3 linked regions of the Tamandua tetradactyla genome follow. The protein of the gene in region 1 purifies or fractionates together with the protein of each later gene. This does not show direct contact. Links are inferred from orthologs where the notes say so. Each region holds a gene or a part of one and is shown in the gene's direction. Other genes may lie near its edges.

Region 1 (3,747 bases):
GGAAACTCAGTTCAGCTTCTCTTATTTCCACGCAGAGAAGCACTTGAATCAGGTGGTATTTAGTGTCCCACACCTCTCAGCACGATGTGAAAGAAAGGTCAAGGGTTTTGCAGCAGGATAACTAAGAGGTTATTTTGGGGGTCATGTCTTATATGTAATTATTTATTAACTTCAGGCTCCACAAGCGTTCACTGGACCTCTGTAGTCCCAAGACCCAGCCCTCACTTGTGCACGCAAGTCCAGCGGCGCCTGGCGCGCAACAGGCGCTCAGCGAACAAACGCGCGCGGAAGGCGCAGCCCGGGGGGCAGAGCGCGCGGCCGCGGCTCACAGGCGCCGCCCAACCAGGCGCTTCCCGCGCGACCCGGCTCACCGACCTCGCCCAGGGGCGGGCCCGCCCCCTGCCGCCCGCGGGGCGGGACTTCCGGCCGCTGAAGTTTAACCGTCTAGGCGGGAGCCGGAAGCCCAGCGCAGGAGCGGGCCGGGCGCGGTGCCGGCTCTGCCGTCGTGTTGAGGTGAGGCGCTGGCGGGCCCGGGGTCCGCAGGCCGCTGCCCCCCGCGTGCGCGCCGCCCTCCGGCCATCTCACTCGGCGGGTCGAAGGCCCCTGGACGCCGCGCGCCCAGCCGGGCGAGGGTTGCGGGCCGTGGCCGGGCGGGCAGGGGCGCGGCGGACGCGATAGTGCGCCCGACGGGGTGCGGGGCCGCGACCCGGGTCCCTCGCCTCCGCCTGCGTGACCTCCGCTCCGGTCCGGGAGGTCGCTGGGGTCCCCTGTGGGGCGGAGGAGGGCAGCCCCGGGGAGCGCGCTGTCTCCGCAAAGTTTGGCCCTGTCCTCAAGTGTGCCCGGCCCCCGCGAGCCTCCCGGTTACGACCCACCTGGGTGCATGTTCCGGGGAGCGGCAGCTGAGTAGTTCTGCGCGTCAGCTGCGGTTTTGGCGAGTCAGAGTTGGAGAACTTTGGTTCGGCTTGAGGATTGCGGGGTGATTTCATTTAGCTGCCACCCCCAGCCCGGGGCCATGTGTCGTCGCCTGTCCCCTGTGGGACCCTCGTGGACAGGTGGCTGTAAAGCCCGGCCGCCTGCGCCCTACTTCCACAGAAAGAAACGGGCCTTAAGTGACCGCCCAGGTCACTGCCCCCTCGCTCCAGGCCGGTCCCTTGGAACCCGGGTTTTCTGAGTCCTGACTCAGTTCCACTACGCCACGGTCAACAGGGATGGTGTAGAGTTGCTGAAGAGAGATCTTTCAGTTGTGTTTACTTTGCCTAGAGATCCCCGTGCCAGCACTTGACTGTTCCTTGAGTAGAGGACCCAGAGGGCACCTGTTTAGGCACGAAGTCCAGACCCTGTGTGTCTGCAGGTCAGCAGGCCACTGCCTTAGTAGCACTCGCTAGCTGATGGGTGCAGCGTGGTGGTCACCTGAGCCAGTTTCTAGTTTAACAAAAGTTAGCCTTTTTTATAAGCACCTAAGGTTTTTTAATTTCTCTTGAGAATGAAAGCAGTCTTTAATGTATGATGTTTGTTCTCTGAAATGGGGCATAGTGAACATAAGAGTGATATTTTATTGATGACTTGGGGATCTGTCTGACATCAGTAAGGCTATGCTGTGCTCTCATGCTTCCTTACCCGGAATGTCGGGTGTGCTGTGTATTTCTGTACCTCCACCCTTCCCCTTTCTCCCTCGCACTTTTGAGTGGTTTTTCCTGACCTGTCTTCTGTTAAACTTGTTGCACTTTAAAGTGTCTGCCTAGAGCAGCTCCCCTGCCTTCTGTCTGCGGTTTGGGAAATCACTGTTATGATTATGTGTTTGTGAGGGTATTGTAGACCAAGTAAATGCACCTCTTTTAACTGTATTTGTGAATTTGCAAGTTGTTTGGAAAACGGGAGTGACTGGACTCTGGCCCCCAGGAGTGTTACAGTTTGTTCTACCCCTTTTTTTTTCTTTCTTAATAAGAGAAGTTACCTAAGTAATAATTATTTGTTGAGTGCCTACTGTGTGTCAGGAACATTTCAAGACTCAAGTAGTAAGCAGGTCCTTCCCCTTGGGGATCTTTGTTTCAATCAAGTCTGGGAAGGAAGACATTATTAGGAGAACAAGTAAGAATCTCAGATAACGATAAATGCCATGAAAAAAATGACGTGGAGTAGTGGGATAGAGGATTACTGATCAGGTGCTGCTGTAGCCCTGGTCAGGGAAGGCCTTTTTGAAGAGGAGACAGTTGAGCTCAGCAGATGAGTTGAGGTGTGAATAAGGAGATGGCTATGAGAAATCTTTGGGAAGATCATTCCTGGTAGAGAGGGTAGCAAATGCAAAGACACTGAGGTGAGAACGACCTCAGCTTCAGCTTGTTACATGAAACAGAAACAAGGTGTGTCTGGAGCCTGGTGAACCTGGGGGAGAGTGATAGAACAGGTACCCTGGGGCCCGTGAAAAAGGTTGGCTGTCATTATAACTGCTATGGGGAGTCACTGGGCAGGTCAGTTAGGAGACTGTGATCTGGTTCGTGTTTTAGAAAGATGATTCCAGCTGCTTTTGGTGAGTTCACCATAGGGGACAATAGAGCCACTCCCCACCCTGCCCCTCACCTCTCAGTTGTTTTTAATATATGTTGTTTTAAACTATTTGTAGGTGCAGTCATGCAGGAAAACCTCAGATTTGCTTCATCCGGAGATGATATTAAAATATGGGATGCTTCATCTCTGACTTTGGTGGATAAGTTCAACCCGCACACATCACCAAATGGAGTAAGCTCAATATGTTGGAGCAGCAATAGTATCCTTTTACCAAAGATAAACAGTTTACTATACAGTACATCAATCAGGTGCATTCTTGAATCTATTCTGTTAGATTTCGTTGTAAAACATTTACATTTCAGCCCACTTACATTGAAAAAAAAAAGCCACCTTAGGTACCAGAATCTAGACTGTAGAGTTAATTATGTTATCAACTGTTAATGAATCAAATGGAATAATGTAATGGTGGGGGAAACTTCCAAAAGGTTTTGGGCTGAACTTTTGCATCTACATATGGGTATTTATGTATCTAGTCTGGAAATTAAAGACAGAAATAAAGCAGAAGCAAAGGTTGTCCAGCATTCCATCTTGCTGATGTACTCATTTATTTCTCTCCAATCTGTGATGAAAATAACCTCATTTCTTAAATAGAGTGAAATTCATGTTCACATTGAATTTTCCTAAGCTTTTTTATGTTTCTTTTCATGCCCTCCCTGTTTTAGTGAACTCCTAAGTGTGGATAAAATAAATAAGGGGAGTGAAACCAGGGTTTCTTAATCTTGACACTGTTGACATTTTGGGCTGATTAATTCCTTGTTTTAGGGGCTCTCCTGTGCACTGTAGGATATTTAGAAGCTTCCCTGACCTCTACCCAGTAGTCTGCAGTTATGGCAACCCAAGTGTTTCCAGGCATTGCCGTAGTTCACCTGAAAGGCAAAATCACCCCTGTGAGGACCACGGCTGTAAACCAAGGACTCATTAGTTTTTTTTTTTTTTTTTTACATGGACAGGCACCGGGAATCAAACCCAGGTCTTCTGGCATGGCAGGCGAGCATTCTTGCCTGCTGAGCTACCGTGGCCCGCCCAACTCATTACTTTTTATATAAAAATGTTGTATATACTTGGTATGCTAGAAATTATCATTATTCTGTGAAACTTGCAATATACTCATGTACTGTTTTTTAAATTACGTTTTAATAGATCATTGCAGTATATTTTATCTGCTTTCTGATAAAAGTGAAA
Region 2 (3,747 bases), on another chromosome or scaffold:
TTCATTCAATAGCTGAACGCTGCGTGTCCCTGTCTATGAACTTGGAATTATCTGTTCTGCTCCAGCTGAAAATATTCTCCCAGACAAGGGATAACAAATGTTTTGGTTTTAAAAGCAAGACTTTTGAGAGGAAAGTTATTTTTAAGGGAAAACACACACACACAAACGTTGTTTTGTTTAAGGATAATCCAGAATAGTCTTATTCACATGTAGAAGCTCCTGCAATCCATTTAAATTTGACCAATAATATTTTCTTAGTTATGAATACAAACTATTCTTGAAAGAACCTATTTAATCCTAAACTCATTTTAGGTGATAACAAGTGACAACGGCAGTTACATTTTCACGGAGCATGCATGACACATACAGAGAGTCTTGAAGCATTTTTATAGTGCCACTTTTCCAGCTCAGGGAAACTCATACACACTATCAGACAACCTCAATTTCCTTGCCTACGATCCGTGGCCAAAGATGCATAGGGAAGAGTTGCAGTTTTAAGCGGCTTTGAAACGGGTGAAATCTTACAATCATTATTTCATAACTGTTTTTTAAAAGCTTGTAATTTTTTTTACAAGTTGCAGCTTTGGAGGCTCTTATTGACGCTCTGACTTCACAAATTCCCCTGAGAGAAGGCAAATCTAATGCTAATTCAGATCGCTCAAACTTGCTTTTTATCCCACCTATGGATACTCCTCTACTCCAACAATAATTACCAAAACCTTTGAAGACAGTCTTAAAACCGCACTTGAGCAAACAAAAGACGTGATGGCCTTAAGGGGACACAGCTTTTCCTAGCTAAAAAGAGGAGCTGTCGACCACCGTGAACGGCTCAAGATGTCATCAAAAGTCCTGCCAAATGTCCGGGACAACGCGGCGGGAGCAGGTGGGAAAAAAAAGAGAGAAGATAGCTGGAAGGCCCAGGGGAGAACTGGGGTGCCGAAACCGGAGGCGGTAAAAGATGAAAGAAGGTGAGGCAAAATTAGGTACAGGAAAAAGAAAACGGGAGACGAGAGGGAGAGCTCTAAAGAAACCTGGCGAATAAGCGATTCGGAGAGTTTCCAATTTTCTCACCAAAAAGCTGCGTTCAGCCCCAGGCACCACAGGGCACTCCGGGCTGGTCGTTCCCACACCAGGGCTGCCTGTACCCGGCTCAGCAAAGGCTCGTAAGGCCCCAGCACTTCCACCAGCGCCTGCTGCGCCGCTTCAACCTGCTGGTCCCGCTCCCGAGAGCCTGACATAGTGCGACGGCCCCTGAAATTCGGCCCCGAAGCTGGGCCTGGGGCAGCGGCCACCCCCTCAACCTCCGCCATCTGCCCCAGGCAGCCACAACATCCGGGGCCACACGGCCCGACAGTCACAATAACATCAACTGCGCAGTCGCGCTATTCGGCGGGAGAAGCCGCTTCCCTCCACAGCGCTTGCGCAAAGCCTCAAGTACGCGACCATCCAGAGGAAAGGAAGGACGCTGCGTCAAGCGACGCCCTCAATGCCAAAGTTCTCAGAGCCCGATTCAGAGCCGCGCACGCGTAGTCTGCATTGCTGAAGCCGTAGGAATAAGGAAGAGCTAGCTGCAGAACTCAGTTCTCATTGGAGCGCAGAAAGTTCATGGGGCGGGAACGGGGAGGTTGGGCGGGGGAATGGTTATTTGGCGCCTGCGTCTTGGAGCCAGCGGGCTGGCGAGTGGAGGTGTCGCTGGCGATAGCGGCTACAACGCCGGTACTTGAGGAACGATGCCGAGGGAAATCATCACCCTGCAATTGGGCCAATGCGGCAATCAGAGTGAGCGAACCTTCGGCCCCTCCACCAGCCGGGTTCTTAGATTTTAGGATCTCACTATGGGATCCTAGACTCAGTCCCCCCTTCCCAAAATCGTCGTTCTCCAAAATGCGGGGCGTCCCTGACCTGGTGTCCAGTTGCCCAACCCCGAGGGGCCCTCCTTGTTCAGTTGCTCTTATACAGCACCCACAGCCCATATCTCAGACACGGGCGAATCCTGAGACTTGACTTAATATCCTTGACTCAGACGCCCAGTCCTCCAGCTCTTAACTGGAACCTGCCTAGACCCACAGGCTCTTTCCGACACCCCATGCCCCTCTCCCCAGTTGGGTTCGAGTTCTGGAAACAGCTGTGCGCGGAGCATGGTATCAGCCCCGAGGGCATCGTGGAGGAGTTCGCCACCGAAGGCACTGACCGCAAGGACGTCTTTTTCTACCAGGTGCCCCCAGCGACTTGGCCAGGGCCGCCGTGGTTCAGGGGTCCTGAAGGGAAGGGCACTGGCCTAGGATCTGGAAACCGGCTGGCAGAAGGGCCAGGGCTTGAGGAGGGAGGGCAGGCAGGAGCCAGGGTTGGGCGGTGGGAGCACTGGGCAGGCCCCAGCTGACTGAGTCCCGGCCTGGACTCCCCTGGTCAGGCAGATGATGAGCACTACATCCCGCGGGCCGTGCTGCTGGACCTGGAGCCCCGGGTGATCCACTCCATCCTCAACTCCCCCTACGCCAAGCTCTACAACCCAGAGAACATCTACCTGTCGGAGCATGGTGGAGGAGCAGGCAACAACTGGGCCAGTGGATTCTCCCAGGTCATTTACTATTCCTTGGCAGGGCCCACAACTCTCTCCTTGTGTGGTGACAGCCCTGTGACTTCCCAGAACTAGATCTGGGATGTATGTGTGCTGGAGGGTGATAGATATGGCTGAGGGAAGTTCAGTTCTTTTTAAGTTAATTATGTAATCTTAAAAGCCTACTCTAGCTAGTGCTCTGTGCCAGGCATCTAAGAGCTGTGCTTATATTAACTTATTTAAACTTCCAGCAGCACTATGAGGTAGATACTACAGGTCCACAGTCTCTTGTCTGCCTTTCCAGAGTCCTAAAAATCTGAAACCAAAAGTAAATCTCATAACTCATTTAGCAGCAAACCTAAAGCTCAGTGGAGATGAAGTTATTTATGCATTCTATTCAACATATCATGAATACTCAGACCTTTCATTGCAGAAATATTAATGTATTTGATTAAATGCCTGAGACCCCCACTATAGGTATATATCATATGTATCATATCTCCTTCCTAAAATTTGACATATTCTACATTCTGAAACATAACTGGACCCAAGGATTTTGAATAAAGGGCTAGTGCCCTTTATTATCACTTTTCATTTACAAATGAGGAAACTGAGGCATAGAGAGTTTAAGTAACCTGCCCAGAGTCACTCAGATAAATAAAAAAAGAGCTAATATGTGAAGCCAGGCAGTCTCAATATGAAATGCCTGCTTGTAACCACTGGACTGTACTACCTCTAAATATAAATGAAAAATGGACCAGTGGCTCTCTAGAAAAGAACTTTGGGTGCTGTAAAGAAAATCGGGGGTGGTTATTCTGAGGTCAGAGTCCTTGTCCTTTCATTCTGTCCCGCTCTGACTCCATGGCTCTACAGGGAGAGAAGATCCATGAAGACATTTTTGACATCATAGACAGGGAGGCAGATGGCAGTGACAGTCTAGAGGTGAGTGGTCCATGAAAGTTGGTGGGAACCAAGGTGGGGAAGGCTCAGCAACATCCTTAAAGAGCCACCTATTAGGCACAAGACCCTTTGCCCCAGGCAGAAACCACTGAGCCTTGCTGGAGATAGGACAGTCTCCTAAACTTGTGTGTGTGGCGGGGGCAGGGTGGGGGGGGAGGGAAGTGGAGGGATAAGAGTCTAAGAAATTGGTGAATGGGCCGTGTTTGAAATCCTGCCTCTAGAGATCTGGG
Region 3 (3,747 bases), on another chromosome or scaffold:
TAAAATCCATTCCTATTGTGGATGGGACCTTTTGATTCGGTTGCTTCAATTAAGATGTGACCGGCCCAATTCAAGGTGGGTCTTAATCCTTTACTGGAGTCCTTTACAGATGATGAAGGACAGAAAAAGCCCTAAGAGCTGAGAGAGAAACACCCAGAGAGAGCTTAAAGAGTTAAACACTGAGAGGCCTGAGAAAGAAAAGCCCCAGAGGAGCTAAGGACCCACAAACACTCAAGGAGAAAGCCACTGGACTCAAGTTGAAAGCAACGAGACCCAGGAACAAAGGACCAACTAATGCCCAGCAAGTGTCTTCCCATGTGACAGAGGTGTCTCAGATACCGGCAGCCTTTCTTCCGAGTCCAGGTATCATACTATTGATGGCTTGAGCTGGACATTTTCATGGCCTAAGAACTGTCAATTCTAAGAAGATAAATTCCCATTGTAAAAGCCAATTCATTTCTGGTATATTGCATTCTGGCAGCTTTAGCAAACAGAAACAGGTGTCATCTACCTTCCTAGTCCACAAGCAATCTGGGAAGTTCCATCTCATTTCCACTTTTCCGTTTCCAACATGCAAAAGGTCCTTCAATCTCGGTTCAGCTCTACATCCACAGAAATTCCAGGCCCTGCTGCTGTTCATGCTTCCCTATGGCAGGAGGACAATGCAGCACAGCCCCTCCCCTTTCCACCCACATCTTTCACGACTCTCTGATTTCTGTTATGCAAAGTGTCCAACTCTGGCTACCAGAAACCACCAGAGGCTGGTAGTATGAGGTCACCCCTGCCTCCATTCAGTTATTATGGCATTCATGCCTCAAGCTAAATTGGTAACATCCTAAAGGCCCAGGTAAAAGCTTCTTCAGACCACCTACCGCTGCAAAACATGCCCAGTCAAGGGCACTAAATCTTCCCCGTGTTAGGGGCAAATCTCAACCCCCCTGGGGGGATAAGGAGGGGAAAGAGTGTGTCTGCGAAAGTGAAAGGTAAAAATAACCCAAAAACAGTAGCCTGCCGGCCAGTGGCCATCCCAAATGCAGCAGAGGCACAGCCCTACTGGCTGCACACTGGAACAAGTCTCTGCCATCCACTCAAGAAATAATGGCAGATGCGGAGACCCTGTCCCATTCGGCCCAAGCACTCCAAAAAAAATTTTTTTTTTGTCAACAAATGGTGCTGCCATAACGGGATATTCACGTGGAAACGAATGAACTGTGTCCCCCACCGCACAGCATACAAAAAAAAGGAAGAAAGAAAACGAACAAAAAAGGACGCAGCTGGGGACGAAGTCTTCCAGGCCGCGTGGAGGGCCAAGGCCACATGCCTCAAGACTGATCCTGTCCTGGGAGCCGAACCGTCAGCAACCGCCGGGCACAGGTGTGTCCTCTGCTCCGAGGCCAACCCGGATAAAGAGACCACGTTCCCGCGCGTCCTTCGCGGCGCCTGCGCAGAGGACCCCCCAGCAGGCCTCGGTGTCGCCGCTGCGCCGGCTCGCCGCTCTTCGCCGCTCTTGACGCCGTTCCTGAAGCGGCGGGGCATGCGCGTGCGTGTTTACGGTAGCTGGGTATCCGCACTCGCCTGTCCATCCTTCCCAGTCAGAGGCAGGCGGCGTGCTTTGGTCGATGGCAGAACAAGCCGGAAGTTGCTCTGCTTCCTCTGTCCAAATGCGCACTGCAGGAAACTCAAGCACTGAAAGAAAGGTTCCGGATCTGGCCTGGGGTGGAGGCGGCGAAATGGAGACAGGGATGGAGGACCGGAGACTGACTCGCCGCCCGATGTTGGCCTCTTCCTGGGAGGCCCCGTGCGGAGCCCTGCCCCGCAGCCTCCTTCTCACCCGGGATGGCCTGGGTCCCACGGATTTCGATAGGGAAGAGCTGCTGGCGCCGCCTGCTCTGAGGTAAGCCGGGCCGGCTGGGACTGGGGAGCTGCGCCCTGTGACAGCCACGCTCCTGTAGGGGCCGTAAGGGACAGAGGGACCGGGAGGGGTTGAGGGTCTGGGCCCGGGATCCGGGAACGGAGCGCGCGAGGGGGAAGCCTAACCGCGGGCTGCGGGCTGGAGTGAGGTCCGGGTCCGCGCGGGGGCGGGGCCGGGGTCCCCGCAGGACGCGGGGAGGGAGGGTGTCGGGGGTGGGTGGGAAGGTGACCTGAACACTCGGTCACCAGGGCTCATCGGGGCTCCTGTCAGAGTCAGAATCCCCTCGCTCCCCAAATGAACCAACAGGTAAAAACCACTTCCACCAAAACAGGCTTTAAGAAAAAGACCCTGCTAGGGAGAATCTCCACCAATGTAAGTTTGAAAAAGATAAGACTTTTGTCCTTTATTCGTTTCTGCCTACAGCTGCTTTGCCGAGGGTAGGTTGCAATGGCAGCAATTAGAGGGACCTGAGTAGAATGCAGATGGTCAGGGGAAAAAAGGAGGGGAAAGCCCTGATGTCTAAAGCAGCCATGTCTTTGTGAATTCTGTATCGAGCCTTTGTTAGGTGCTCAGCAAGATGGTTGGACCTCAAGGGCAAATGAAAGTGAAGGAGGAAGAAAAATGGTCTAATCAGGGGTTATGAGAAGGGTTCAAAGAATTATACTGTGTATATATTCATGAGAAGTGTTCAAAGAACTATACTGTGTAATATTCTTAACAATTTTCTTTTTAGCCAGGATCTGGTAATTTTGAAGAGGAAACTGAACAGCCAAGAGGAAAACCCCTGTTTCCTATACCTGCAGTGTGATCCTAATGGCGGTGAAGAAGTCGTTTCTATTGGCATTTTAAGTTCAGCAAGAAATATGGAAGTATATTCAGGAGAGGAGTACTGTGGAACCAGTAGGGGCAGGGATATCTGTACTGTCCTGGATAGCAGGTTTGTCAGTGACACATGCACAAGTGTCCTCTGAGTTTGTGTGTTTTCCTCAACTTTTACAGTAGTTATTGGTTCTCTCACATTAGTGTCAGAATTAGGGAAAGGAGATAAAAACATATAAGCAGGCAAAGAACATGAGACATTTAAGGTAGCTTAAAGACAGTCTAGATATGCCTTCCCATTTTTATAAATGTGACCATTTGTAGCTAATAGAGGGGACGTGACAGGGTAGAGGGGCATTGTTAGTTAGTGAAACTGTCTAGACCAGAGTGCAGTACTTATTTTTGCTTCTTGGATCTTTCTATAAGCTCACAATGGATTGTTTTCCAGAAATTATCCCCTTGGCCAGTCTAAAACTTTGAACATATATTCTGGTAGGAAGGCCATCATGAATGGGGCATGAGTCCAAGACTGTATCACACCAGCCTATTTAATCCATATTTATGCCTCTTATATTTGATAATTTCTCTGGTCTCATAAAGTTGCATATGTCTCAGTATAACTCGAAATATGAACTTTTATATATTGGGCATATTGGAAATAACAGCCACATTTATTGATCTTTATGATATGCTGTTGTGGTATATGATTTTATGTAGATTAGCTCATTTATTTCTCTCACACGTGGTAGTGTGTGTCAGACAAAGTTGTTTGTAGCCAGGCCACTTCAGTAAGGAACACCAGCTCTTCATGTCATACTAGGCAAAATGAATCTCAGGATTTAAGTGTTGGTCTAGAAATATTTTTTTAATGTAATATTTTTAATGTTTCATACCAAACTCTGAAATCTGTTTTGCAACTAATTGTTGTGATGTGCTTTGAAATTTATTGCTATTTTGTATATGCATTATTTTTCACAAAAGAAAAAAAAAGTCACTTGTGAAGATAAAAAAATATT

What was found.
Region 2: the proteins of NEDD1 (region 1) and tubulin gamma-1 chain purify together in Homo sapiens (affinity purification with mass spectrometry; 5 studies listed by BioGRID and IntAct, with this or other methods). This does not show direct contact. The link is inferred for Tamandua tetradactyla from reciprocal best matches to the Homo sapiens genes NEDD1 and TUBG1.
Region 3: the proteins of NEDD1 (region 1) and C13H10orf88 purify together in Homo sapiens (co-immunoprecipitation; 3 studies listed by BioGRID and IntAct, counting the BioPlex papers as one, with this or other methods). This does not show direct contact. The link is inferred for Tamandua tetradactyla from reciprocal best matches to the Homo sapiens genes NEDD1 and C10orf88.

What each region holds. Positions count from the first base shown.
Region 1 is NC_135333.1:166,928,860-166,932,606, forward strand, and holds the start of NEDD1 (protein NEDD1), read left to right. Parts: upstream 1-790; 5' UTR 791-2,508; coding exon 2,509-2,527; intron 2,528-2,620; coding exon 2,621-2,764; intron 2,765-3,747. UniProt on the Homo sapiens protein: Required for mitosis progression. Promotes the nucleation of microtubules from the spindle.
Region 2 is NC_135332.1:24,615,635-24,619,381, reverse strand, and holds the start of tubulin gamma-1 chain, read left to right. Parts: upstream 1-1,318; 5' UTR 1,319-1,730; coding exon 1,731-1,779; intron 1,780-2,102; coding exon 2,103-2,215; intron 2,216-2,410; coding exon 2,411-2,578; intron 2,579-3,430; coding exon 3,431-3,499; intron 3,500-3,747. Other genes in the region: RETREG3 (reticulophagy regulator 3), read right to left, coding at 1,072-1,310. UniProt on the Homo sapiens protein: Tubulin is the major constituent of microtubules, protein filaments consisting of alpha- and beta-tubulin heterodimers. Gamma-tubulin is a key component of the gamma-tubulin ring complex (gTuRC) which mediates microtubule nucleation.
Region 3 is NC_135339.1:85,541,182-85,544,928, forward strand, and holds the start of C13H10orf88 (ATPase PAAT), read left to right. Parts: upstream 1-1,536; 5' UTR 1,537-1,619; coding exon 1,620-1,894; exon of another isoform or gene 1,895-1,899; intron 1,900-2,645; coding exon 2,646-2,849; intron 2,850-3,747. Other genes in the region: uncharacterized protein LOC143654403, read right to left, coding at 1,261-1,536. UniProt on the Homo sapiens protein: ATPase that regulates mitochondrial ABC transporters ABCB7, ABCB8/MITOSUR and ABCB10. Regulates mitochondrial ferric concentration and heme biosynthesis and plays a role in the maintenance of mitochondrial homeostasis and cell survival.